4 linked regions of the Notamacropus eugenii genome follow. The protein of the gene in region 3 interacts with the protein of the main gene of each other region in a pairwise test. Links are inferred from orthologs where the notes say so. Each region holds a gene or a part of one and is shown on either strand. Other genes may lie near its edges. The genes, in order: SEMA4G, RBFOX1, RBPMS and RDH12.

Evidence for each region.
Region 1: the proteins of RBPMS (region 3) and SEMA4G interact in binary tests that used the Homo sapiens proteins (3 or more experiments, as listed by UniProt). The two-hybrid records come from large-scale screens. The link is inferred for Notamacropus eugenii from reciprocal best matches to the Homo sapiens genes RBPMS and SEMA4G.
Region 2: the proteins of RBPMS (region 3) and RBFOX1 interact in binary tests that used the Homo sapiens proteins (3 or more experiments, as listed by UniProt). The link is inferred for Notamacropus eugenii from reciprocal best matches to the Homo sapiens genes RBPMS and RBFOX1.
Region 4: the proteins of RBPMS (region 3) and RDH12 interact in binary tests that used the Homo sapiens proteins (3 or more experiments, as listed by UniProt). The two-hybrid records come from large-scale screens. The link is inferred for Notamacropus eugenii from reciprocal best matches to the Homo sapiens genes RBPMS and RDH12.

Annotation. Positions count from the first base shown.
Region 1 is NC_092872.1:178,944,683-178,951,947, forward strand, and holds the start of SEMA4G (semaphorin-4G), read left to right. Parts: upstream 1-4,254; 5' UTR 4,255-4,333; intron 4,334-4,447; exon of another isoform or gene 4,448-4,551; intron 4,552-4,738; exon of another isoform or gene 4,739-6,592; 5' UTR 6,593-6,718; intron 6,719-7,265. UniProt on the Homo sapiens protein: Cell surface receptor for PLXNB2. May play a role in axon guidance.
Region 2 is NC_092872.1:85,127,980-85,135,143, reverse strand, and holds the start of RBFOX1 (RNA binding protein fox-1 homolog 1), read right to left. Parts: upstream 3,005-7,164; 5' UTR 2,917-3,004; coding exon 2,830-2,916; intron 1-2,829. UniProt on the Homo sapiens protein: RNA-binding protein that regulates alternative splicing events by binding to 5'-UGCAUGU-3' elements. Regulates alternative splicing of tissue-specific exons and of differentially spliced exons during erythropoiesis.
Region 3 is NC_092878.1:167,536,660-167,544,126, reverse strand, and holds the start of RBPMS (RNA-binding protein with multiple splicing), read left to right. Parts: upstream 1-4,455; 5' UTR 4,456-4,534; coding exon 4,535-4,630; intron 4,631-7,467.
Region 4 is NC_092872.1:312,387,591-312,394,573, forward strand, and holds the start of RDH12 (retinol dehydrogenase 12), read right to left. Parts: upstream 3,013-6,983; 5' UTR 2,936-3,012; coding exon 2,868-2,935; intron 747-2,867; coding exon 628-746; intron 1-627. UniProt on the Homo sapiens protein: Retinoids dehydrogenase/reductase with a clear preference for NADP. Displays high activity towards 9-cis, 11-cis and all-trans-retinal. Shows very weak activity towards 13-cis-retinol.

The sequences.
Region 1 (7,265 bases), on a different chromosome or scaffold from region 3:
TGTTCTTTTTCCCCCTTCCTCCCCTCCCTGCCAGAAGGCTACATTAAGTGCAGATATATTTATATAGAGATATATTGATACACATATATAGACATGCTTTCCCTAAGAAATTCTACTTCTGCCCATTAATCAAAATACCCTTTATATCCCCCCCACTATTCCATCACCCTCCCCTCTAGAGATCCCTGTCTTATCTTCTTCCCCCTCCCTTATCCCCTTGGCATTTTCTTTCTGAATTTTATGTGTGTGTGTGTTGTTCCCCCTTGAACTTATTCCTTATAAAAGTAGGTTTCCAGAACTAACACTTCTTCTCCTCAATCTAATTTCTATGTCGGTTCTTCCTCCTCCATTTGTATAAAATAATTTTTCTTTTTATAGCAGTTCCTAAATGGTTTTACTTTTTAAAGACATGTCAGACTCAGGTCTACCCCAGTCTTTCTTATGAATTACCCAATAGCTAAGAACAATCTTAGACATAACGTTTTACATTTTATATACATAAAAGGTAAACAGTCTGTCCTTAACGAGTCCCTTATAATTAGTCTTTTGTCTGTACTTATATGTCAGATTTATTAAGTTCAATTTTTTTTAAAGTCCTGAAAGTCTGACAGTCCATTAAATCCATTTTTTTTTTCCCATTCAAGATTATGCTTAATTAGCTTTACTGGGCATGATATATTCTGCCAGAACCCCAGTTCTTTTGCTCTTCAATATGTAGTGTTTCAAGACCTGTGGTTTTTATGTGTCACTGCTGCTAGGTCTTGTGTGATTCTAATTGTGATACTGCCATATTAATATTTTTTTCCCTTGTTGCTTGTAATATTTTATCCATGAGCTGGGAGTTTCAGAATTTGACTGTAACATTCCTATGAGTTTTCCTCATAGGATCTCTTTCAGGTGGTGATTGGTGGATTTTTTCTATTTCTACTTTCCCCTTTTGTTCTAATGCTTCAGGACAGTTTTCTCTAATTTCTTGTATCATTGTATCTAGATTTGTTTGTTTTTTAATCATAGCTTTCAGGTAGTCCTTTTATTCTTACATTTCCTCTTCTTGATCTGTTCTAAAGATTAGTTGTTTTTCTTATGAGAAGTTTCACATTCTCTTCTATTTTTTCATTTTCTATATTTTGTTTGAATACTTCTTGATCTCTTTTAACTTCACTGGCTTCCCCTTTCCCAATTCTGATTTTCAAGGAGTCATTTTCTTCCTGAAGATTTGGGATCTCCTTTTCCAGTTGATTGACTTTCTTTTCATAGTCTCTGTGTTTTTCTTGGGTTGCTTTTTCTGTTTGTTTTTCCTCAGTCTCGTTTGATTTTTAAAGTCTTTTTAAAGTGAATTCTTTTTGATCAGGTGACCATTTGACGTTCTTCTTTGGCATTTGAGTCTGTTTCTATATTTGTAAAGTGGGAACAATGCTTCCACTTCCTACCGTACAGGCTTATTGTGGGAAAGGCCCTTGAACAGTTTATATGGTACTATAGAAATGTGAAGTATTTTCTCTGTTTTACAGGTGAGGAGACAAGCTCAAAGGAATTAACTGATTTCATATGGACAATTAGGACTAGAACCCAACCTTTCTGACTCCTAAGCTAGCGTTTTTCCTAGGACCACAAAGTACTTCTCCTCTGAAAGACTGAGACAATAAGGATTCAAAGGTTCTGGTAAAGAAATAACCCGAGGAAGTTAGCAGCAATCAAGGGAAGCTTTCTGGAGGAAGTTGTTTTTAATAACCTGTTTTCTTTCCCTGTAGGATAAAGCTTGGCTTTGCAATCAGATCCATTAATAGGCCTTATTTTCCCCTAAAAAGTCAAATTTTCTTCAGTGAGTATCATGCAGTGAAACTGCAGATTTTCCTAAATTTTTAAAAAAGGTTAAAGATAAGAAGAAAGGAAACAAACATTTATTAACTACCACACTGCCAAGCACTGTGCTAAGCAGACTACAAGTATTATGTCATTTGATTCTCACAACAACCCTGTCAGGTAGGTTTTACAGTTAAAAATGAGAGAGGTTAAATGACTTGGCTACAGTCACACAGCTAAGTATCCAAGGCTGGGTCAAAAGAGAGACTAGAATAAATGGGGGGCAGGATAGGAGGGAGGGAAATGTAGTTAGTCTTACACAATGTGACTATTATGGAAGTCTTTAGCAAAACTACACTTATACAGCCTATATTGAACTGCTTGCCTTCTCAGTGGGGATGGGTGGGGAGGGAGGAAGGGAGAGAAGTTGGAATTCAAAGGATTAGGAATGATTGTTGAGAATTGTTTTTGCATACAACTGGGAAATAAGAAATACAGGTAATGGGGTATAGAAATCTATCTTGCCCTACAAGAAAAGAGAGAAGATGGGGATGAGGGAAGGGAGAGGTGTGATAGAAGGGAGGGCTCATTGAGGGAAGGGGTAATCTGAAGGCAAGGTGTTATGGGGTGGGGGGAGGGGAGAGACGGGGAAAAAATCTGGAACTCAAAATTTTGTGTAAATGAATATCGAAAACCAAAAATAAATAAACATTAAAAATAGAAACAAAGTGTCCGAGGCTGGCTTTGAACTCTGGTCTTCCTGACTCCAAGCCCATTGCTCTAGCCACTGCTCCCTGATAAAGTGAAGACCTGGGTTTCGTTGCCAAAGCCTGATTCCACCCGCTCTTCAGCAGTCTCCTAGCAAGCAGCTCCAGCTCACAGGTGAGCAGGTCAGTTTAACTCGTATTCCCCTGGGCTTACCCCTTGTGGCAGGTCCTTCAGCATCACTGCTAGAATGACCTACCTTAAACACAATTTTCATCTGGAATCTCCCGATTTCCCTTTTTCCTAATACCACCAAATCTGAATTTCTGAGTCTGGGTTTGAGGTAATTGTCATTGCAGTGAGAAGAGCCCAAGATTTCGAGGTGGGACCTGCGCTCAAATATGGCTGTGCCACCTACAACGAATCACTTCTGGTGATGCCGTCTTTTAGACCGATTAGAACCGTCCCCGACCTGGCCCCCCCCTTCTGTCCAGAGTTTATTCTTTCACTTCCTGTTTCCTCAGCCCTCTCCATTTCCTCATGCCCAATCCCAGTCCTTCTCCCTCCTACTGTCCCTCCACCTGAATGTCCGTCCTGTCCGCTTTTAGCAATCTGCAGGTTTAGCAGCATTCCCTTTCTGTGTCTGGGAGCGGACGGTCCACATCCTCCGCCCCACCCCCATACACAACGACACCAAGCTGGGAACGGTGGGGGTGGTGTATTGGGCAATGGTTTTTAAAGGCATAGTTCAGTGACTACGTGGGAGAGTTTTTTCTACAGTAAGTCTTCCAAGGGAAGGGGAGGCTGGCTGGCTTAGAGCTACAGAGGAACTCGTGAACCTGGAAGAGAGGACAGCGGGAATGTGACCTGCAGTGTCCGAGGGGTTGTCCTTGGAAAGAGGCTCGAAGGCCTTTGTGCCCCTTGGCCCGAAGGTCGAACTGAGCGAGGGAGCGGAGCTGGGAGAGGCGGATTCAGCGTTGGGCAGAGGAAGGGCTTCGGAGCCATCCAGTACCCCCCGAAGGCTGGGCCTGCCCCGTCAGCTTTGGGGGGAGGAGGTGGTTCTGAGCCATTTTGTGACAATCAGGACTAGCACCGAATAGCGGGGGGCTCTGTGCCTGAGCAGTGGAAGCAGTCTCCTCCCCTCGTGGACGGAGGTAGACCTGGGTGGGAGGCTCCGGAGGAAGGCGGCAAAGCCCAGCATTGTCCCCACTAGACCAGGCCTCCCGAGGAGTGGTCAGGGGTCAGACTCCACCTAGGCCAAGCCCGGCGGGGGTGGGGCCGTCGTAAGCCATTCAGTTCCCTCCCTTACGGGATCGGGTTAGTGAGGGTCCGGCCTCCCCCGGGCCTCCGTTTCTCCCTTACGACCAAATGGGAACCTCTAAGCCAGAGTGCAGGGGGCAGTGCGGGCCGCTAGGGGGCGCAGCTCCGATGCGGAGATTCCGAGGTCCCTGGAGACCCCGGGAGAGAAGAACCTACGCGGCTCCTGTCTGTGCTCCGTGAACCAACGGCCGAAGGTTCCCGCCCGCCGGGCACTCCTCGGCGCAGACTGCGGCCCCGCCACGAGGCGGCGAAAGCTTAGGCGGCCGCCGGGGCCCACGCTTTTTCCCGCGCCGCGCGACGTGGGCACGGCTCGAAGCCCGTCCGACCCGGTGACCCGGCCCGGAGCCGGCGCAGGAGAAGCCCGGGCTCCCTGGGAGGCCCACCGCCCACGAGGTGCAGTCCAACAGGTGCCTGCAGCGTCCGGCTGGGGCGGGGGGCGTGGCCCGAGCCGCGACTCTGACCCCTGGGTCGCGGGAGGCAAGGTCGGGCTTCCGGCGAAACGAAGGTAGTCGGCTCTCTCCCAGCCCCGCCCCCCCGGCCCCTCACCCCGGCTCCGGCCCCGCCCCTCACCCGGCCCCGCCCCTCCCGCCCCTCATCCCGCCCCCGCCCCACCGGCGCCGCTCCGGCCCCGCCCCCGCCCGGCCCCGCCCCCTCCGGGCCAGGGTTGTGCAGCTGGAGCCGTAGTGTCCGTGTCGCTGTGGACCCGGATTTAGGACCCGCAAGGTGGGTGGGGGCGGGGGTGTCGACCCTCCCTCCTGCGACCTCCGGGGTCGGGCCTGGGGGCGGCGGCGGGCCTCCTTCGGCTTGGATGCCTCGGCTCGGCCCGGAGCCGAGGCCGCAGGTGCACGGGCTGGAGCGGGCTGGGGACTGCGGTGGGAGGCGGGAGCGGAGCGAGGCCGTGGCAGGTGTGGGGACGGAGAGGCCGGGCTGGGGTCCCTCCCGCTGCAGCCCGCCCGCTGGGATCGGAAGGGATGGGGGTCTGCGGGCTGCAGCCCTGCGTGGCGTGGGCACCGGGAGGGCCCCGTGGGCTAGGTGGGGTCTTCCCCGAGATCGGTGTTAAGCCCAGGCCCCAGAGGACGTCCTCCAGCTGCCGCGGGAGGAATTGAGCCCCAGGGGGGCGGGGGGGGCTAGGGCTCTCCTTGGACCCGGGGATGGGCTCCGGAGGTGCAGTCAGCCCCCCGTGGGCACTTTCTCCCAACGCCCTGGAGGAAGGGATGCTGACATCTTCCCACCTGGGCCCGAGAGGACTGGAAGGCAGGACTGCTTCGGGGGAGCTCAGACCCCAGACTTGGAAGGCCCCAGGCAACTGGGACCTCCCCTGGTGGGAGAGGTGTGTCGTGGGGTGAGGGGCAACCGCTGCCGGGCAGTGCTGCTTCGCAGGCCCAGGACTGGCCCTTCCTCGGAAGGTAGAGGGGCCCTCTGGGAGAGACAGCCTGTTCTCCGGATTCCAAAGAACGTTTTTAGGACAGTATGGCTCTGGAGGATTTGGGGACTTTTGGTCCCAACCCAGCAGCCCTGCCAGGGGAAGGAAGCTGAGCCTTTGTAAATGAGCCCCATTCTCATCCCGACCTTACTGTTCTGAATCATCCTTATCCCCTTTCCCCTCTTCATGGAAGATTGAGCCCGCCCAGCCCAGAACTTAGCCCTTTCTTCACTGTTTGTATTATCTGTGGGTATTTACAAACACATCTTGTTCATGCCAGTGTACTCATATACACGTGTGTGTTTGTGTATAGGTATGTGTCTGTGTGTGCACATATGTATCTAGGTCAAAGCTGCCCATATCCAATGGTACTAAGCTGACCGTGTACCCTCCCTCAGCAAACAATCACACCTCTCCAGATCTTCCACCCTTCCCAACCTTTGCCCTTTAATTAAACTCCATTGGTCCCCCCACATGACATGATCTGTTTCACCACTTCCCTATGGCTATTCTGGCAACTTCTCCTGCTCCTCCAAAGCAGGCTGGTTAATGTTTTACTGAGGAACAGACCGAAGCCTGTGGGGATGGATGGTGTTGAGTTTATCCCTGTTGGCTGTGATTCCAGGCATTATCCTTGGGCTCTGCCCCCAGTTCTTCCCAGGTCTTCATCTGGGAACCTCCCACTCCTCCATCAAAGAGGAATAGAGGCCCTAAGGCTGCTCTTTGTGTAGAGACAGGTAGGTGGTGCAGTGGGTGGAGTGCTGCTGGACCTGGAAGCAGGAATGGACTTCAGATATGACCTCAGACACTTACTAGCAGTGTGACTGGACAAGTCACTTTATCTTTATGTCTCAGTTTCCCCAACCGTAAAAGGGGGATAATAATAGCACCATGAGCTTATGCTTATAGAGCCCACCCTGGTGGGAAGGAGGGGTGAGAAGTATCATTAGATGGTCCTGGCCTTCTCCTTTCCCGTAGGAGTCCCAAGTAGATCAGAGACCAGCTGGCCCTCTTGCCCTACCCCAGGGGATCTTAGCCCCCAACCAGTAGTATACCCTTAATTTAGGCTCCCTGTGAAGACTCCAGTGTGCATGGGCATACATAGACAGAAATAATCCATACATGGAAAGACACATACAATTCAGCCAGGGACTGTAGTAGAGAAGAAAGGGTACTGAATGTAGAGTTTACAGGACCCAGAGCAAGTCACTAAGCTTCTCTGATCCTCAGTTACCTAAAATAATGGTGCTTGAGTAATGTCCTTCACAGAATAAGGAAAGGGATTTGGGCAAAACGCTCCCTACATTCTCCTTTGACTCCTGTCTCCATGCATTTGTTCAGGCTATCCCCATACCTGGAGTAGACTCCATCCTCAACTCTTTGTGTTAAAGTTCTCCCTTGGCTTCATGGCTCATGTCAGGTGCTGCCTTCTCCATGAAGCCTTCCCTGAATCCCCTCATCCCCCAGGTAAGATCTCTCCAGTTTCTGCACTTCCCCTTTGCACCTGTCTTTCTCTCTTAGATTGTTGGCAGACTGTCAGTTTCTTGAGAGCAAATTCTGAGTCTCATCTCTTTATTTCCATTGTATTAGACACCAGAGCGCCTTGCACAGAGTGAATGTCTAAAATATGCCTGATGAGTTGAATGTTAACTATTATTAATAGTGATAATGAATATTTTCTGAGTATTTGGTCCATGGAGGAAACCATACACATCCTGCTCTTGGGGGGGGGGGGGGGCAAACAGCCTAAGATGTTGGGGGCAAGGGTAAAAGAAGACATGTGTATAGATAGCACAGCATCAAGTGATCAGTGCCAGGGGAAAGCCTGGCAGAAGTTCTGAGGATTCATAGGAAGAAGTCTGAAGATCAAGGAAGGAACATCTACAGATTTACAGAGATGTAGATACATATTACTGTGCAAAGAGATGTATGAATATATACAAGTAGGTGTGTGGCAGCACATTCAGTGTGAATAGGCACCTTTGGTTCTTTGTGCATATTTGGTGATTAAAAT
Region 2 (7,164 bases), on a different chromosome or scaffold from region 3:
GTGATGGTAATATTCACTGATATAATTTTTTTTCTCCAGTACGCTGCTACAGGTGATTCTAATGCAATTGTCATTCTAATGCAAACATTTTAATATCATGTTTTTGGCTCAGTGTACCAGAAAGAAAGATAGCCAGTCTAAGTCTCTGACCATTCAGGGTGTGGAATGGAAAGAGACAGGTTCTGGACCAGGAATTTACAAATTATCATGCAGTTAGAATAAGAAGGGACTTTTGATTTCATCTACTACAACCCCTTAATTTTACATGTAAGGAAACTGAGACCCAGAAAGGGTAAATGACTTGCCCAAGACCATAAAGGAAAAGTCCAAACTATGATTTTAAACCAGATCTTCTGACTCCAAATGCAATAGTCTTTTTTCTGTGTCACTGTCATAGTGCTCTCAAATTTGGGGGCAGGGATAGCAAATGTGCCTCCACTGAAGTGCTAGCAGGATGCCTGATTGAGTCATGAAGCTACACGCAGGATCTTTCAGGCTATGGTGATAGAGATTTGTCCACTTCTGCCTGGCTGAAAAGGTTCTCAGCAATCACCTAACTGTCTGTCATCAGAAGACTGATGTTAGCAAATTCAGAAAAGCTCATTAATAAAACTTTAGATGCCATGGGATGAGTTGCTCTGGACAAAGCAACCTAGGAAACCAAAATCTAATGCTCAGGTGAGCCATGATCTTCCTAGGTGGAGAGGGCACCATCTATCCTGATGAAATCATGACCTTAATGAAGTATTAAAAAGACATTTTCCAAACCTGAATTCTTAGATGGAAATACACACTAATGTCACAGTTTGCAAATGGTAGCAACAGCCCACTCCTGCTTCCTCACAGCAATTTACCACACTCCACAAATATGCTGGCTGAGATGGTGTACCTAACGAATAAAACCAGATCTCCCAAATTTTTCAAAGAGCTCTTGTGTCTTCTAATCTATCACCTGGGTAATGTGTCCAGAGTGGCATTTTGTAATGACAGCAACATTCCAACAAATCAATAGTTATTTAATTCCCAACAAGCTCCCGAGTCCATTAAACCTGATTACATTCACCCATTTCAGTTGGGTGCAGTTATTTTTCCTACACCGGCACTTAATCTATAACAGGAACTTATGAGAACTTTCAAAAGCAATTTCAGCATCAATCAGCATAGAGTGAAAGGCACGATTTGCTTGTAATTATTTATTGGACAGGATAGCAGAGGGTCTGACAGAGCTCCTGGTCCTGACCTTCACCCAAAATCTAAAATGGAAATAAGAGTAGTTGCCTATAAGCTTCTAGTCCTGCCCTCGTATACCACAGGAGGACCAGTGGCCCGTGCTTGTTTGGACCAAGAAACACAAAGATTTCAGTATTGATAATGGCCAATCTCAGGTAGATCAATTTATTTCTACTTCATACACATGTGGCTAATATCGAGTAAACTCTCCAGTGAAGGCGCCAGCCAGCAATCTAGAATTATTGAGCTGTTCGGCTGTTTGGAATCACCCCAGGTTTGATATTCTAGCCAGCCTTTTGTAATAAACAACGGGTTACAATGAAGGTTGGGGGAAAAAATAATGTGTCTGCCCAACAGTCTGTGCTGAAGACATTTTTTAGTTCAACTCTAATGAGCTGGGCTGGACTTTATTCACTTCACTCACTCCCAAACTACAGGTCTGGGGCATGTGGGTGAGGGGGAGGGAAATCTTTTTTGTTGCTTGTTTGCTATGAATAACAATTAGACATTTTATTCATAATGTCTAACAAAGTATAATAGAGAAGGGTCTGTTTTAGATTAAAGGCAGGTGTAGGAAAAGTACCTGCTGGATAATAACCAGAAAATGTTAGAAAGACAGTACTGGACAATAACCATATGACAAAGTTTACAAAAATGTACCTTACAACTGAGTACCTGGATGTGTAGAATCATTAAACTTGAAAATAAGGAAGGGATATTAGAAATCATTTCACTCAACTCTCTCATTTTACATACGAGTGACTTGCCCAAGATCACACAGCCATATAAGAGGAGAGCCAGAATGAGAACACAGGTGTCAGTGTTCTGACCAGTACACAATAGACCAAAAACAGCAGCTTGCACAATTCTCACAGTGAAGGCCAATCTTTATCTAAACAAAATCTAAGTCCCTTGAAAACCTTTGGAAGAATTATCTGACGTACAATGCTAGCAGACAGTCTATTCTGAGCACTGTGATGGAATTAACTGCTAGTTAATTCCTCAAAAACCAAGCATGTTTCAAGTCACCGATTCCTTGCCATCCTTAAAAACTCAAAGGGCTGATTGTGGGGGTTCCTATAATGATCTCTAAACTTCATAAATTAACCATCAATGTATTATTCCATTTTACAAAAAAAATTCTATTAAAACAGACATTCCATGTGAAGTCGAACATATGAATTAATGCATATTTAATGTTACTCATTTTTGCTGGGCTAAAGCACTTAACTGAACCACATCATGGTAAGTTACTTTGCCTCATGATCTGCACTGGGAATGCTGAGTCCCTCAGAAAGCTGAAACGGAGAGCAAATCCTTTGCCCTGTGGTCAACCTCTTGAAGCAAAGGCATGAATGTTAAGCAGCAGGCAGATCAATACAAGCAAATATAGCTCAACTACACCATTTATTCAGCCATGAAAGATGTCAATACACAGATTAGGGTGATCCATCTTTTTGATTTCCTACTGTCTTCTCACTGACTACATGAGGGCTTTTTCCTGTATTAAAAGTGTTTGCTTTCTCAACCATAAAAATTCCAATTATTACTCTAAGTGCACCAGAGTTAAGTTGCTTGTTGGAAGCGGCCTTGAATTACCTGAACAAGTCCCGTGAAGTACGGTGCCGCGGGCACAATCATGGGCACGCCGTAGGGATGTAGCAAAACTCCTTGAGACGACAACATGGTTTAAGTGATTGTATTTCTTCCACTGAAGCTAAACACATCAATTGAAAGTTAGGCGAAAATCTATAGACCAAGTTCTTCCAAACTACAAAGCTTACAGCCAAATAACTTCTGTCAGGGCCCAACCCCTCGTCAACTCGGAGGGGAAAAAAATCTACATCAGCAACTCTTAATGTTAAAGTTTTCTTCCCAGACAACGGAGAGAGACAGCAGCTGCAAAGCTGGAGATACCAAAATGGAAGGTGCTATTTTGGGAACAGCTTGTCTAACATGACTAACCAAGTACTCTTTGTTAATTTAGCTTTGCAAAAAAAAAAAAAAAAAATGAGAGGAAGAAAGCAACAAGGTTTAAGATACTCCAAAATGAATTCTGCCAAATGGTAGATGGCTGATTCCACGTAGGGTTTTGGGAAGATACACAGAAAATAAAAAGTGAGAAAGAAAATAGAGGTTGATGTTTAAACTTGAATCACCTTGTTAATACATAGAGCCTTGTGCATTTATGAATGCTGATTTTTTTGAGAGACAGAGAAAACATGGAAAGCTGATTGATTGGGATAGGCTTTAGAGGGGTAATTTGACCAGTGTTATCGTATGTTCATTGAAATGAGTTTAGAGGTAAAAAGACTTTCTAATTGTTAAACTTGAACCTCCAATTCTGTCGCATTTCTTGATGAAAGATACTGTCAGATTCTGACATATAAATCAGGGTCAATATAGCATCAAAAATCTGGGTGCAATCTGAAAACCTCAGGTACAAATCTGGACCTTCTAACTTTAACCTATTTGTAAACAGGCAGATGAAGATTGACAGCATTTTCCCCCCAGTTTTCAACCAGATGTTCAGCACAGTGTAGACGCTGCTCTGTATTCACAATTCTGAAAGGCACAGATAGCAGCTGTGCTTTTTGATCCTCTGGTTTTGTCTACCAGGAGGGCAGGTTGCTATATTCAGATTTTTTCACTTTTTAGCAGGCAATTATATGAAGGTCCAATGTGCTGTGTCCACTTAGGTGATATTCAAGGTCAAGAAGAACTTAAAATAAATCTTTCAATAACACCTGCTGAATACATTCCAACTCTAACTATAAAGAGAAAAGATGACTGAAATATGCTGAAACTGGGCAAGTTAAAGAAAAGTACCTTAAATTACATTCCACTGTTGCCTTCTCATGAATCCAGGCACGAATTCCTGTGCTTTGAGAGAGTCAAGGTGTCTTTATTCTATACTAATTTTAGATCCTTGATTTAGCAGCATAATTACTTGTCTAGGTAACTATAGTGGACAATATTTGGCACAGATTTCCATTTAAAACTTGAGTTTTGGCCACACTGAAAGCTTTTCTACAATTGACGCTCATGTATCAAACGAGCTCCGGTTAGCAGCTGTAAGCTGACCCCTCTTACTTAACAGTCCGATATGGTTTCTAACTTTAGATTTGGAGCTGTGACTCCCAACATGGCATTTCTAAGAAGTTACCAGTGAGGACAGAAAAGTCACCATGGGATATAGCCATGTTTACCTATTCCTGGCTTCCATTTATAGACAGCTTCACTCTTGGATAGGGACAGGAGGAGATTATTACTTTCTGTTAGATGGTATTAATCAGTTCATATTATGTCACTTTATCGCTGAGTGGTGAAAACAGTTCCTGGCAAGTCATGAAACCAGGGTTCTAATCCAATATTCAGCACTTAAACATGCAATCCTGAACAAATTATTTCCCTTCCTTTGAGTCTGTTCTTTCAAGTACATAATAAAGGGGGTAATATTACTTACCTAGTAATAGGTTTTTTGTGAGTTAATAAGATCATATATGAGGAAATCTTTTGAAGAACCCTGAAGAGATATATGTTCATGTTATCATAAGGTATTATCTTTACTGATAGGTAACATGGCATTGTAGATAGAGAACTAGCTTAGAAGACCTGGGTTCAAGTCCTGTATGATAACTATAAGCCTGTAATCATGGGTAAGTGACTTTATCTCTCTGGGCCTCAGAAAATTCTCTAAGGCTCAAAGTCATAGAACTGCTGATGCTCTCCATTAGGGAAGGGAGTTTACTCACCACAAAGTCCTGATACTAATCAACTCATTGGTATGGGATGCCACACTCCCTTATTCCCCTTCCAAGAGCATATAAAATTGACAGTCACAAGGAATAAAATGTATAAAGTGCACCGCATTTGAAAGGTTTTCACAAAACTTTGTTTCTAAACTAGAGTTTTACCCTCACTTTCAAAAAATATAAACAGTAATATCTGATATTAAGACGGGATGCACCCAAAATCTCAGTGTGATCTTAAGCTATTAGCTTATGACTGCACTAAGACCTGGGAGACAGCTTCGATAAGTGCTATACCACTTATTTTTTTTGTTAACACATTATCTCGTTTGAGTCTCACAAGAACCCTAAAAGGCACAGGTACCATCTCTATTATTATTATCCCCATTTTACAGATGAAATTGATGTTTAGAGAAGTTAGGTGACTCCTCTCAGTTACCCAACTAGTTAGCACCTGAGGTAGGATTTGAATCTAATTTTTCCTGAGTCCAATTTTGTGCTCCCTCTACTACGTAGTACTACCTGTATTGTGGAAACCAATACCTATTGTAGTAAGTGTATTCTCTCATGTTTCAAGATATTTTCAAACTGTCCAAGTATATGATATAACTTCAAGGTCGGGTAGGTTGCAATTAAGGATAATTACTCAAAAAATCTATTTCTTTTAATGAGATAAGTCTAAGATTAAGGAGAAGGGACCTTTTGAATGGATGCTTACTTAACTCTGGGACTGCAGGGTAACATTCTGAACACAAATTTAGGACAACCTTTACTTTTCCAGAGATACTTCCTATCTCCATAATCTGCCTGTGATGGAGATGGGAGTGGTGGTGGAAGGATCTGATAATCACTAGAGAAACACATTCGCTACCTTTTCCACTAAGAATCTGAAACTATATTTCCAAAGAATGTATTCTGTATCATTATCCACTCTGAGAATAACAAAATATCCATTTTATCCAAAGTTTTGAAGCCAGTCTTCAATCAAATGGCTAATTTACATTCTTTTTGTTTTTTACTTTGCTTTCTATCTGTATTCTCTCCTTTCATGTTACTTCCTTTGTATCATTTGATGTATCCTTATGCAGTTTTTTAGGGATTTCCTTCAAGTAAAATTTTTCTTATAACTTCTTTGATTTTTTTTAGCTTCCTTTCCCTAAAATAATCCTCTTCTCATCTTTTCTCTCTCTCAATCCATGATCAAACTCCCTTCTCAGTTGTCGACTCTTTGATTCCCTTCTGTCACGTCTTCTTAGTTTAATCAAATCTTCCCCCTGCCCCTCTTTTCTCCACCCCCTTTTCTGTGGCTCAGAATACCCCCCCCAAAGAAAAACATGCAGAATTTGGGATTGTAAATGATGACACTATCCACCCCCATTCCTTCTGGGTGACAGACGCCCAAAGACTAAATGTCAGCTTGGAAGAGAAGAGAGCAGAACACAAAAACTAAAGAACAGGGTAAGGGTGAGGGGTAAGGCACTCTGATTATAGCTGTGAATATTTAGCAAAATTATGTGTGTGCACACATACACACATATATACACACATGTATGTATATATACACACATACATATGTATATGTGCGTGTACTCCAAGAATTACATTTGGGTGCATTTAGTTTACAATTCTCATTGACTAGCACTTGTGAAAGGGTATCACCACAGAAAATCCAAAATAAAGTATAATTTTTCAAAGCCTCACAAAAAACTGTATCTTACAGCATCCCATTAACCAAAACTTTCTCTTAAACAGAATGTTCCCACTTGTACAGAAGGATGGTAACTGATATCTGTAATGATGACCTGAAGGTAATGAAAATTCCTAACGTTCCTCCTGACCAATCAAAAAATAATTTATGCAGAGGATTGTTTAATAAATATGGCATTAAATATTTCATTTTATTGAAACCCAGAGAAAACTGATAATCTTTGTTTACCAGACTATGTGAACTAGAATATTCCTTTTCCAGTCTGGGCTGAAATATATAGAATCAATATAGTCAATTATTTGCAGCTTTCCAATATATTATGCTATGGGTAATATACAGGGAAGTTAATTGTACCAGAATAATTAAGAACTGACTATAATCACAATAGAGAGTTATCTGAGCATCTTCCAGTCATATTATTTGATTAAAGACAGCCCACATGACAATGGAGAAACAACCCTCCCACTTCATACC
Region 3 (7,467 bases):
CCTCAGAGCTGGCCTTCTTGTCAAGGGCTTCCTTCTGAACTCCTTCCCTTCCCAGCTGTGCATTATGAAAGCTGCCTCAATGACCCTCTTTTAGTCCTTGAGGGGGTCATATTTGTCCCCTCCCTCCAGAATCATCACCCAGGAAAAAGGTAAAAAACATCTTCCTTGTTAAGCAGTCAAGCAGAAGAGAGCTGTATGTGGGCCCGGGCCCTAAAATGTAGGTCTCCGTTTGCACCCCCTTCTGTCAGCAGCGGGGTGACCTGCTCCATCATTGGCTTCTGGATCTGGGGCCTCTTTGTGGTCATTGTGGAAAGTGTTCAACCTTTCTGACTTTGCCAGGAGCTAGAAACAGCAGGTGGGACCGCCCCTATTCCCCTATTCTTTGGGGGGGAGGCAATTGTTTCTCTTTCTTCCTCTGTCTCTCTCCCCTTCTCTCTGTCTTTCTCTCCTCCCTTCTTTCTCTTCTTTTCTCCCTCTTGCCCCCTTCTCTCTCCCTTCTCTCTCCTCTCTGTCCCTGTCTCTGCCTCTCTGTCTCTCTATCTGTCTCTCTGTCTCTCTCTGTCTCTCTGTCTCTCTCCCTCTCTCTGTCTCTCTCCATCTCTCTGTCTCTGTCTCTGTCTCTGTCTCTGTCTCTCTCTCCCTCTCTCCCTCCCTCCCTTTCTCCCTCCCATAAAACTCAATTTCTAAAAATCCCCAAACCCTTCCTTGGAACAAATAGATGTAGTTGAGGCGAAGCCTCCAGGTGTTGCCTTTGCGTGACAGCTTATGCCTTGTTCCACACCTGTTCTCCGCCACCTCTGCCGAAGGAGAGGTGGTCCATCTGCCGAGGTCACAACGGGAAGTGGCTTCAGTCTGAGGACTGAAGTCAGTCTCCACGCCTTTCTGGGTCTTCCCCACCTCTTGACACCCTCCTCCCCCATGCACCTCTCAATTATTTCCTGTCCAACCCAGCGTATATTCCGTTCCATCCATACCCAATGTTCTGTTCAGCCCTTCCCTTCCTCAAAGGACCTTCCCTTCTAGCTTTTTGCTCCCCCGGAAAAGGGCTTCTTTAGGAAGGGTTCGGGCACAGAGGGGACCTTCTCCTCTTGTCTTTGAGCCTCCTTTGGAAAGTGTCGATGTTGAAGGATCTCTCTCTCCATCTTGGGGTATCTTCGATGGCTTTCCCTGTGCCCGCAATGCCCTCCCTCATCTCTGCTCCATCCCCTGTGCCCGCAATGCCCTCCCTCATCTCTGCTCCATCCCCTGTGCCTGGAATGCCCTCCCTCTTGGTCCCCACCTCCTGTCTTCCCTGAAGTCTGTATGAAATCCCTCCATCAAGTAGCCTCTCTCAGTCTTTCTTAATCTTTGAGCTTTCTGCCTGAGAACGCAGTTGTTTGTGTCTGCATCTTGTTTGTATTCAAAGAGATGGCCCCTGTAATAACACACCAACAACCTTGTTTGTACAGGGCGGGGACCGACTTTGGCCTTTCTCTGGATCCCCAGCAGCTAACACAGCACCTGCACATAGTAAGCGCTTATGAAACGCTTGTTGACGCAGGAAGGCGTTTCTGATAACAAATGCCCCTTGGCCCCCATATTGGAGAGGGAAGGGTTAGTCTTCAAGGGGCCAAGTGGGCTGCTCTTGGTTTACCGGAGAGGAAACAGAGGCCCAGGGAGAGGCTAGGCACTGGCAATGCTGGCAGTCAGACCCAGCTTCCAAAATCTTAGGAATGTCAGACGGGAAAGAGCCCTTGGTGGCTCTTGGCTCTCGAGGCCCAGAGATCCCGGCCCTGACGCCCTCTCTTTCTCCTCCTCCAGACATTTCGAGGGCTTTTGTTTTGGCTAGGTTGGGGGCCGTGCTGTACTGTGGGTTATGAGTTTAGATAAAACCCCAGTTCTGGCCCAGACGTCGGGTCCTTTGGATGTTTTCTAAATCTCTGGCTATTTACCTGGCTTTGTAAGTCCTTCCCATCAGCAGCATGGGTGCCAATCTTTTTGTGGTATGTCCTTCACTCCCACTCGCTTCCCCCTGCAGTGACTCCAGTGTATACTTTGGCTCAGCCTTTGTTCCATTGCCATCTTCCCCCTTTTCCTCTTTCTTCCCAGCTCTCCATTGTCTCAGCCTTGCCATCTTCTAGACCATTTGACTGCCGTACGAGGTTCCGATCACTTGTGGGGCTCTCGATGTTGGGTGATACAGATGTTGCTGCCACGTACGTCTTTAGCATTCCATGTCATTTTCCAGTTATGCCAAATCAGCTTGCCACTCTCTGCCTCAGTTTCCTCATCTGCAGAATAAGTATAACGATAGACCTTACTACTCTTTAGGAGAGGAGTGTTAAAAAAGCTTTTCTAAAGTGGTGGGCCTTGGGAAGCCCCTGCTTTTGGCGGTCCTACAGCCAGGAAATCTCCTCCCAGCAAAGTTGGTTGATTTCTATGTGATACTACTTAGAAAAATCAATGATGAGCCTTCAGAAGTTGTTGGGGGGGGGGGGGAGGTTCCGAGGTGTAGTTAATGGCCGGAAATGACCCTGGGGAGAGGACAAAAGGACTCCTTCATCCTCCTTCTGAATACCTGATTCCTTTGTGTTGGATGAGACCATATGCAGATAACCCCCAGCCTGGATGAAAGTAAGTCCCTGCCCCCCTTAGGCTTTTGGAGGGGGAGAAAGGGGAAGGGGAAGGGGCTGGGCTTCTCTCCCTCACTCACTCCTCTGTGGGTGCAGGTCCTCAGTTGGTCTGTGGCCTCCCTGGCTCTGTTGGTGCTGCTCTCACACCTATTAAGGGCACAGAGATCCTCAACCACAAGATTGAAGCTATGGGATGTAATCAGCTGTCAGCAGCCAGGCTCCTGAATGTCCTTCTGCTGAGATTTCTAGTGTCCTATGTCTGGCCTGATGAGGGCAACACTTTGGATTGTTCTTGTAGACGGTCACACAGACAGACCCAGTTTGGTCATTTTCCTGTGCTCTGTTGGCATCCATTGCCCTACATCTCTATGTAGCTGGGCTGAGTGGTGGGTTTTCTTTTTTTAATTTTCTGGCTAAATAACACATTTTTTCAACCTAATCAGAGCCCTTTCCAATCTAGGAAACTGAGGGCCACAGAATGGATGACCTTCCTAGCCTAGTGTCTGGACGTAGTAGGTGCTTAATTAATGCTTCTGGGATTGGATTAGGGATAATTGAGGAAAGAACCTGAGCAATGGTCTCATTCTGCCGATAGAATGGAACCCTTGAGAGCAGAGCCCATTTTTCTGTTTCAAAGTCCCAGGGGGCCGTGAACTTCCCAGGTAAGGGCTTGTGGCCAGTAGCTTTTTGTTTTCCCAGCCTGACAGGAAGCATGGGAGAGTGGGACCCTTTGGCACACAGCAGGTCCCAGCAGACTTCGGGGACCTTGGGGTGGCCTGAGCACCTGCCTCTGGATTAGGATGGCTGAGGAGTTTTGGCTGCGGCATTGCTTTCTCTCTACCTCAGTTTCCTCATCTGTAAAATGGGAGTCATAATAGCATCTCCCTCTCCAGGTTGTTGGAAGAACCATATGAGACATGTAAAGTACTTTGCAAACAAATGCTAGCTGTTATTTTTGGTGGCGGCAGGGTAGAAAAAAAGAAGGGAAAAAGGAAATTTGCCCAATAATTTTGCTGTATGTTCGAAACGAATAGCAATGGGTTTAGTTGACTTATAGTTTCACGTACAATTGTCTTTTTATTGTACTGTGTTATGGACATGCTTATTGTATTCCATAAATATGTATTAATGTAAGATTCACTCAATATTTCTTCTCCCTCTACCCACCCCCCAGTCATCCTACATATTTTTTTGGAAAAAGGCAAAAAACCCCCAAAACCCTGAAAACAAATAAAACAGATGATCAGGCCGTTGAAAAGTCTGAACGATCTTTGGCGTGCCCACCTCTGCAAATCCATAGGAAGGCTGTGCCTTCTCCAGTGCGGTCTCTGGGGCCAGCCTTGCTCTTTGTCTTTGAATGTTAGCTGTCAGTATTACTGTACACTTTCTTCTCCGTTGTTCCCCTCCAGCCCGTCTTTTGAAGGTGAAGCTGGGAGAGAGAGAGGAAGTGACTTGCTTAGGGTCACATAGCTGGTAAGTAGGTGCTGAGGCCCAATTCCTGTCCAGGTCTCCTGACGCCAAGTTAAGTTTCTCCCTCTACATGAGGTTTCCTGGACTTCTTTCTTTCTTAGCGTTTGCTCCCATTTACTCCCACAAAGCCTTGCTGGTTGACCGCTGTGAACCTCTCCTTTTCTAAGGAAGCCAGGCCTATCCGTAGGAACAGCAATCTCCTCTCTGATAATTAGAAACCCAACCTTATTGGTGGAGAGTGTCTTTGGGGGATGACTGGTAACAATGGAGAAAACGTACTTAGGTCAAATATAGAAACAGAAGTCACTCACTAACTCCCTATTTTTAGATTTCATGTATATAAAAGCAGAATAGAGGCTGACCATATATTTTATTTTGTTTTTAAGGAAGTTGAGCTGATGGGTTGAGGGTGGGGCCTGGGAGAGAGGCTACTGAGCCATGGAATTCCAGGGATGACTCTCAGAAGCCCTAGCCCAGGGCTTGGAGGATCTGGGAGTCACTCAGCAAAGGAGAAACTGACTTTGGATGTTCAAGATTCCAAGGCTTGGGTAAGGAATGGCTCTCATTGAAAATGCCTGCGTCTGTCAGAATGGCCTCCAGAGAAGGTTGTCGCTCAACCCTGGTTTTGTTGATGTTGTGTTAGGGATTCTAATCCTGTTAGGATGTCTGCTCCTAAAAAGGCCCCAAAGTTAAAGGCAAAGAAACGGGTGAAAATGTGTTGTTCGGGACCCCAGGAGGCTGCCATTTTGTCAGCTTGGGATCTCTGTGCCTTCCTCACCCTCTGGCAGTCAGAGTCTGTCTAGAAAGGCCCCAGTGGGCTCAGTCTATGGACTTACTCTAAGAAATTGAAATTTGACAAGACATCAGGCCTTAAACTTGTTTTTAAAAAATTCATTTCTTGAGTTTAAAATAGGGGAGTCATGGCCAGGCGGCTGTTATTCAGAAAAAAGATCTCCGTGTTTGGATGGACTGACTACAAGTTCAGCATGGGCTGCAGCTGGGGTGAGCATTTCCTCCACATTTTACCTCAGCTTTCCTGGGACAGCCGTTAAAAGTGTAGGAATGTGGCTCCTGAATGTGGAGTGGAGAAATGGAGTGATTGGGCCCAGGCAGCACAGTGGCCCACTTCAGACAATTGGACAAGCACTGAACCCCACCCCCTTCAGTTTTCTTATCTTTAAAATGGGTATAGTAATAGAGTAGCCAACCTCACAGTCTTCAAGCATCAGATGAGAGAGAGAGAGAGAGAGAGTGTGTAAGGTGCTTTGCACGCTTTAAAATGCTGTTCTGCCTGCTGGTTCTAAGGTTATTCCAGAGGGCCCAGGGGCCACTGTCTGGAGTTGAACCCAAGGGTCCTCCTGTCTGCTGAGGGAGGATAGGAATCTCCCCTCTAAGCTGGGAGGCCTGGTGGGAATTTCTCCAGGTTCTGAAGTGTTGCCTGAGGTTCGTTGGGAGGCAGAATTGTCCTTCCCCAAAGGCTGAAGCCTGAAAATGTCTGTGTTTTCCCCTCGTGCCCTGGCCTGATCAGACTTTGGCTCTGCCCTTTCCCTGATGACCTGTCTCCTGCCACTGGGTTTTCTGAAAATTTCTGCAAAGCAGGGAGGGGCAGAACTGGCATTTAAGCGCCCAACTACTATGTGCCCAGCACTATGCTAAGTGCTTTAAAATATCTCATTTGATTATCAGGACAGCTCTTCCAGGTAGTGGCTATTACCCCCATTTTACAGTTAAGGAAACTGAGGCAGTCAGCAGTTACATGACATGCCTAGGATCACTTAGCTAGTGAATGTCTGAGGCCGATTTGAACTCAGATCGTCCTGACTCCAGACCCAATCCTCCAGCTTCAAGCTGACCCCGTGGAAGGAAGGCCAGCATCTTGGATGCTGAAAAGGGCCTAGGAGGCAAGCAAATACAGCCTACACCTGGGCTAGACTCTCCTCTGAGCCTCCTGGGGTCATCCAGTCTTTCCTTTAGGCTCTACTGCAGCTAGGTGGTGCAGTGGATAGAGCACCAGTGCAGGAGTCAGGAGGACCTGAGTTCAAATTTCACCTCAGACACTCGACACTCACTAGCTGTGTGACCTTGGGCAAGTCACTTAACCCCAACTGCCTCATCCTGGGTCATCTCTAGTCATCCTGATGAATATCTGGTCACTGGATTCAGATGGCTCTGGAGGAGAAGTGAAGCTGATGACCTGCTCAGCCCTCCCTCACTCAAAACAAAGTCAAGTGCAAGTCATGTCATCATGTCTCTGATGGCATGGTCTTCTTCGGCAACGAAGGACAAACACACGCTGCCCAGGCAGTGAGAAGAGGAGTCATTTAGATAGGTGTGCTGTAATCATCCCCATTTTATAGCTGAGGAAACTGAAGAAAACAGGGTTAAAGGACTTGCCCAGGATCTCACAGCTAGTGTCTGAAGCTGGATTTGAATTCTGGTTTTCCTGACTCCAGGCATGGTTCTCTAAATGCTGCACTACCTAGCTGCTCTAGTATCCTGTACAGGGAACAGGAGATGGGCCCATCTGGCTGCAGTTCATTATGGAGTGAGCTTGAAGAGAAGGGAGTAGAGGGAAAAATCAGTCTGGTGAGAAAGGCTGACTAAACTATCATTCGTGGACATAACTGCTGGGACAACTTTTTTTTAAAGTGCTTGTGAGTGGGGGTGAGTAGTGATGCCTGGGTGGTGAGTGGGGGACGGAGAAACCTGCACGTTGGGAGGTCTTGTGAACATTCCAGAGCTCTCAGACGACTGGTACATGCAGTTCTGCGGCTCCAGGTTTTTCTGAACAGGGAGGAGGTGGGGAGAGGAGAGGAAGGAGGGGGCAGTGAGCAGCGATCTCCCATCATGCACCTTCTCCCCTCCCAGCTTCTCCAAGACATTTTACAGCAGGTGCTAGCAAAGACTGCAGCGACTTGACCTGGGCTGGAGATTAGAGATGGGATTTGAACTCAGAGAACCTGAGATCAAATCTGAGTTTTGACGTTTACTATCTGTGTGACTTCCGACAATTCCCTTAATCTCTCATCTGTAGAACCAAGGGGTTGGTTGGGATGGGCCAGCTGAGAACTGTGTGGTCTCATGGCCCCCCCTCCCAAAGAGCTTCGGTTTATGTGGGTTATATTTACTGATGCTTCTTGTATTTGAAATTAAAATGCCTTATCATTATTATAAATAAGTTTGATGTAGAAGAATCTTGGGGACCCCCCCAGACTCCACTTTGAGAATCGCTAGCCTCAGTCATCTCTAAGACCCCCTCTCCCTCTCAGTCTTGGATCCTTTCATCTCTCTGCGCCTTGGATACTTTCACTACTCACGTCTTAGAACGTTGTAAGAATCCCAACTGCTCTTAGGAATACCCCACATCGGAATTAGCCAAACTTTC
Region 4 (6,983 bases), on a different chromosome or scaffold from region 3:
GAGACTTTCAAGATCACCTAGATCAGAGATTCCCATTAAGTTGTCCCCAACCTTCATGAGTTTTCAACAATGTCTTTCAACAGAAAGAGGTGTCAAACTTAAATAGAAACTGGGGCCACTAAATTATACATAAGGATCCCTAAAAAACTCCTATTAACTTAGAAAACTATATGTTAACATTATCTATGCTCTCTTGCATTTTTATTTATTCTATTAAATATTTCCTAATTACATTTCCCAATTACAACCTCACTCATGGCCACAACGTAACTCAGGTCCCATGTTTGATACTTTTAGTCTATGATATTTGAGCAAAAAATTATTTAATGGTACCATAAAACAGTAAGCAATTGCAAAGAATGTTATTAATAGTATATTAAATTACCCTGGAGATTCATAACACTTTTTTTTTTAGTTGAAAGGGGCTTACAGAACAAAAAATGTTGAGAACCACTGAAATTAGTCCAACCCCTCTCTTACACATGAGGAAACTTATTAAACATGTTCTTGAACTTCTAGCCACATGCCTCCAAAACAAGAGCAATTAGCAGCAAAGATAGGTGAAATGGGAGGAAGTGGGGGACTGTAACAGGAAAAAAGACAAAAACTGGAAGGGTATGGACTTGCCTCTACGAGCAAGATCTTTGGCTGTCTCCTTTCCAATGCCTGTATTGGCTCCAGTGACCACAACTACCTTTCCAGGAAGCTGCACAGTTGATGTACAAACTCCACCAGCAAAGTATTTCCTACAGATACAAGAGAAAAGATTATTAAAACTCATTTTCTTTCCCAGAACCTATTTGACTTGCATAAGAAATAATTATAAATTTCTTACATGCTTTCTCTATGCAATCAGCATTACACACAGAACATGCTCCTTCACCTTATTTGACCTCTTAAGGTCAACAGATTACTTTTGGCTCAGGGAGGGCAATCTGTTAGAATTTCATGCTAGAAGGTGATGTATGCCTATGAACAAGGGATAATCATCTGGGCAAAGAGGATGAGAGCTTTGTTTGATCTGTATTTTTCCTTTGTTATTATTCGTTGGCTTATCTGAGGATCACTTGGAAGGATAAGGTACCAGACACTAAAGTCCTTGCTTGAGCTGAACTGTCAAGTATTCAAATGATGCTTCAGAGAGTGCAACTCAGATGGGCTGGCCATGTTGTTCGAATGCAAAATGTACACTTGCCAAAAAGATTATTTTATGGAGAACTCACATGAGGCAAGGGATCACATGGTGGCCAGAAGATGCGATACAAGGACACTCTTAACAGTCTCTCTCAAGAACTTTGGATTTGACTGTACAACATGGGAGACACTGGCACAGGACCGCTCAGCATGGCGTGCCCACATCAGAAAGGGTGTTGTGCTCTTTGAGCAAAGTAGAATTGAGACAGCACAAAGTAAACACAGGATGCGAAAATTTGGGATATCCAAACCAAATATTCACACGAACTATCTGTGCCCAACCTGTGGAGAGCATTCCAAGCTCATATTGGTCTGATCAGTCATGTCAGACACACTGAAATTTCACTTTATCATGGTGATGTCATTTTGGTCCCCTTCAAAGATGAAGTACAGCAACCATTCCTTTTGCTTATACTGATTGATATTTAAAATAAAATATTTTTAAACATTTTGTTTTAAAATTAAAAATTTTTTTTCAATTAAAAAATGTTTTTAAGCTAAATCAGAAGAAAGTTCCCTAACTAGAACAGAGACCATGAAAACTCAGAATCAAGTCCATGAGGTAGCAGAGGACATAGAGTCCCAGGAACTTGAGTTAGAAATGACTTTGAAGACACCTGGCCAGATCTATTGAGCAGGAATCCCTTCAGTAACATCACTGAAGTATTTATGATTTTCTGTAGGGTCCTTTAAAAGTAGGTTCAATACCCTATAAATAATATACATCATGCCAAGTATAATACACTTAACAAGTCTTAGCTGAATAAACTAATCTGCCCAGGACCACTGGAAAATTCTGAGCAATTCGATCAGTGGGTCAACCTTTGGCCACCCTCCATAGAAATACTCCACTCTGGTCACCTCTCCATTTCTCCACGGGTCTAGGAAGCCGGCCATCTGAGGTACAGTGCTGTTATTCTACTATAGTGGTAATGCTAATAACAAACACTTGCTAACTGACTGACTGAACTCTTGAGACCAGAGCTCCTCCCTATTGCCCATAGATGGTCACTCAAGATTAATGAAAGAGGAATATCAAGGCCCTAAAGGGATGCTTTGGCTTCAAAATGGGATATGGCTGTTCCTTCTCTTTAGATTTTTCAATTATTGACAATTCCCGGATTTTTCCTTTAGAACAAGCAGCCCTTGACATCTACAAAAGTCTAACCACAACAGAGAAATCACAAAACAGAATGAGAAACTAGATTTGTCAAGATATGGAACTTTAAAATGAAACAAGAGTTTATTCATTTTTTCATTTCTTTCCCAGAATTCCCCTAAGCATTCATTAATTAATCCCTTAACAATCATGTCATTCAACAGTGCCATCTGGATGAGGGATGCTTAGTAGACAGGCAGGCACGCATACATTAAGAGTAATCAATACAGTTAGAGTCCAACAGCAAGTCATTTACTAAGGTCATTCACTCTTCCTACCAGTTCCTAAAGGATTCAAAATCACCCATCCTCCACTTGCATGATGCACTTGGCAAATTGGCTTGACCTCCTTTCTCATCTTTCAGGGTGGTATCCATAATTACTACCTTCCTCTGGTTCCTACTCCCACTTTTTTTTCCCAGTCTGCTTCCATCACTTTTTCCTCTCTTAACAGAAGTGGTCCTTGATTCAGGAATAAGTCAAGACTTTTAGTGAACCAATGAATGAACACAGACCTGATGTAGGGAACTGCCACATACAGGAAGGAAAGGAAGGAGGTGAGCAGTCCCAAGATGCCTATCATGTTTCCAAGCTGCTGCTCCTGCTGCTGTAATGCTCACTACTCTCGGGTTCCTGCCCGTCTGCTTTCTCTGCTACTCCCAGCAGACTGGATCAGAGCCCGACTCGGAATCGGATTTAAATTTGTGAGCTGTGAGAGCATGGCCTGCTGGGAGATGTAGTCCAATTCTGAACTAAACCTTCAGGGGCGGGAACATAGGGAAACTGGAGAAACATCTTTGCAGCTCACTCATCCCATCACATTTATATCCCTAAGATATGACAGTTCCTTTTTTTTTATTCCTGGGTCTTGTATTGAAAGGCAACTTTTAAAAAAAACAATTACAAACAACTTCAACAATTGATTGATCACTAACATTTATACAGCACTTACTATGTGTCAGACACTGTGCTTAGCACTGTTATCTCAATTATTAACACATTTGATCCTCACAATAACCCTAGGAGATAGGAACTATTATTATCCCCATTTTGCAGATGAGGAAACTGAAGCAAACAGAGGTTAAGTGACTTGCCCACAGTCATATAGCTAGTAAGTGTTGGAGGCCAGATTTGAATTCAGATCTTCCTGCCTCCAGATCCAGTGCTCTATCCACTATATCATCTGATAAATAGATAAAACATTTATTAAGTCTTCACTTAATATGTTAATAATGTTCCAGGCATTGTGCTAATCAGTGGGAATAGAAATACAAGCAAAAATTGAGTCCCTCTCCTCAAGGAGCTTACACTCTAATGGGGGAAATGACATAGAAGGGGATGCTATTTGAAATACAGTAGAATGAAAACAGTGCTATATATACATTAATTCTTCTTTATAGAATCATAGAGCTGGAAGGGACCCTAGGGGCTTTCTGGTCCACCTAATCTCTGAACAGAAATCTCTCCTGCCCCATTTGAACAGTGACTGCTTTCATCTTCTGCTTGTTTTCCTAAGAGCATTTTGTGGGAAAAATCAGAAGAAAGGAGCAATGATAATATCTCATATTTTATAGCACCGTCCCTTCCATCTCTATGCCTAGACTTCGCTTCTTTGTCAACTCTGTCTTGGAGAAAGACCAAGTTCCTTCAAAGGTGGCCTCCTAGACAAGGTCTCCTTTGATCCCATGTTACTTTGTCTTTACTCATCTGTGTGAACACTGTTTCCCTTAATAGAATGTAAACATTTTAAAATAGTATTTTATCCTAATTACTTGTCAAGACTATTTTTAGCATTCATTTTTACATTTTGAGTTCAATTTTTGATATTGGTTATATCATGTAAAAATATATTTCCATGTGGGTCATAGTTATGAAAGAACAAACAGATCAAAAGGAAAAAAATATGAAAAAATAAAGCAATTGAAGAAAGGATGCTTCAATCTGTATTGAGTCCATCAGTCTTTTATCTGGATGTGAATAGCATTTTCCTTCATGAGTCCTCTGTACTTGTCTTATATCTTTGTATGACTAAGAAGAGCTGAGTCATTTATAGTTAATTATCACAAAATGTTGCTGATACTGTGTACAGTGTTTTCCTGATTCTGTTCATTTCACTTTGCCTCAGTTCTTACAAGCCTTTACAGGTTTCTCTGAAATCTGCCTGTTCATTATTCCTTCTTGCACAATAGTATGCCATTACATTCCTATAATATAGCTTATTCAACCATTCTTCAACTGATGGACATCCCTCACTTTCTAGTATTTTCCACCACAAAAAGGGCTACTATAAATATTTTTGCACATATAGGTACTTTTCCCTTTTTTATAGAATGTAAACTTTTTAAGGGCAGAAACGTTTGCATTTTGTATTTGTATCCAAAATATTTAGCATAGAGCCTGACATATAGCAGGCACTTAATGAATGATGAATGAATGAATGAATAACTCAAAAAAATAATACCACACAATTTAGACCTAGAAGGAACCTTTAGTTTCTAGCCCTTCATTTTATAGTTGAGGAAACTAAAGCATACAAGTACTCTATCATCATATTACCAATGAAGAAATTGGGGCTCTGACAGATTGACTTGCTCAAGGTCACACAGGTAGTCAATGGCAGAACTTGGTCTTGAATATGGGTCATCTGGCTCTTAGTACATTTTCCTAAAGAGTACATTTTTCCTCCATACCACACCAGCTGATGTTGACATTTCCTTTTTGGGGTGTTACAGAGAAAGAGGGAAGCAAAAAAAAAAAAAAAAAAAGCTAACAAACTCCTTGTCAGGCAAGAGAAATAACATTTTTAGAGTTGCTAGCCCACTCTGAGTCTGTCTTTTCCAACCAGAAATGGAAGCGGTAGGTGAAGTGGAAAAAAAAAGTATTAAATAGGTGAAGGAGCCAGTAAGAATGCAGTGGAAACAGGAAGAAGAGAAGGGAGGATGAGCACAGGGTCAGAGGTACCAAAGGTCAGAGGGGCCCTTACAGCAGTTCTGCTGTGCCCCAGAAAATCTAAGACAGTCATAAGGAACTAAAGGGATGAGGAAGGAGGTAGCTGTCACTCTGGGTGAAGTGACGTCCCCATACTAAAATCTACAGTGGCTTCTGATTGTTTTTTATATTGAATCTCATCTCCTCTGATCATGATTCAGTGGAACATGCTTGACCTAGGGACAGGAAAGTCCAAGAGAAACACATTCCAGTATCATGGGGCAATAGGTGAAAGGGATATAAAACATCTCAGTCATCTAGTGTTTAGGTTGTGTGGTAAGGGCCTAAAGTGGAAACACAGAAATAACTTGACAAAATAGTTATTAAACATGATCTTCATAACCCAAAGTAGGTTTTGTAGAATAGGTTTTGTAGAATTCCTTTCTTCAAATGAAAAAATAAAATATCAAAAGGCAAATGTTTCTCAACCCAGTATTGGGATACTGTCATGTTAGTATTGCAACATAAGGAAGATAATAATTAATACTTTCATCATTACCAAAAGGCATGTGCCTACTTACTCATAGTGCTGTACTAGACTCTAAAAACCCCTGACCAAATCCTATCCCCCGCAACAGCTTACAATAAAAGCCAGACAGCACTAAGGCAAAGGGCAAGAATGATTTCCCATTGTTCCACCAACCTCTCCCCCAACCCTATCTCTACAATCCAAACAAACTAGCCTACCTTATATATACCCTGTTGCCACAGGGCCAACAAATCAATCCTTTCCATGATGTTTGGTTTCTGTTATCTTATAATCTCTATTCACAATTTCTCGTTACTTAGAATTTTCGTAACTTCTGACTAGTGTTTCTGGATATTGCTTGATGGAGGATACATACACCCACACCCATATATATAGAATATATATGTATATATAAATGCATGTATATGTATATGCACATATACATACGTAAATATAAGTGATATTCACAATGAAATTGATAAGTAGAAGCATTTTCTCCTTAATATTAGAATCCTGTAGAAATCCTCCTCCCTCATTCCTTTCTAGGTCCATTTCATATACAAAATCCAATGGAAAAACTATAACTTCTTAAAACAAGGACTCCTGTTGGGGGACAGCTCTGGACCGGGGTCCCCCGTGAGGACCGTGAGACACCTGAGGGTCCGAACCTGCCCCCTTGTGGGGTACTGGGATGGCCCTGGTAACAGGCTGGCTCCACCCACAGGGAGGCACTTGGGAGGAGCTCACCTGCCCATGGGAGGTACGGGGGAGGAGACAGGGGATAATAAAAGGGGATGACCACAAGAGCTAGAGGAGAAGAAACGCAATAAAGCTTGCTGACTGCAACTCCTTTCGGGTGCTCTGCCTGTGTATTGCCCTCCCCCAACCGGGAGAGGGACCGGAGACGTCCAAAGACCGGGGATAGGTAAGTAGAAGGCGAAGGCCTGGGAGTCGCCCCGGGCATCTGGCGCCCTGAACAGGGACCGCCGTAGGGAGAGGAGAATCCACCTTGCCCCGCAGTAGTAGCCTTGCTCCGCTACTGCGGGAAGATTCAGGCAGCCTCAGTATTGAGAAGTGGCCTTGCCTCGCTACTGCGGGAAGATTCAGGCAGTCTTAATATTGGGAAGTGGCCAGGATGGGTCAGGGAAATAGTTTTCCCAGTTTAAAGCCCAAA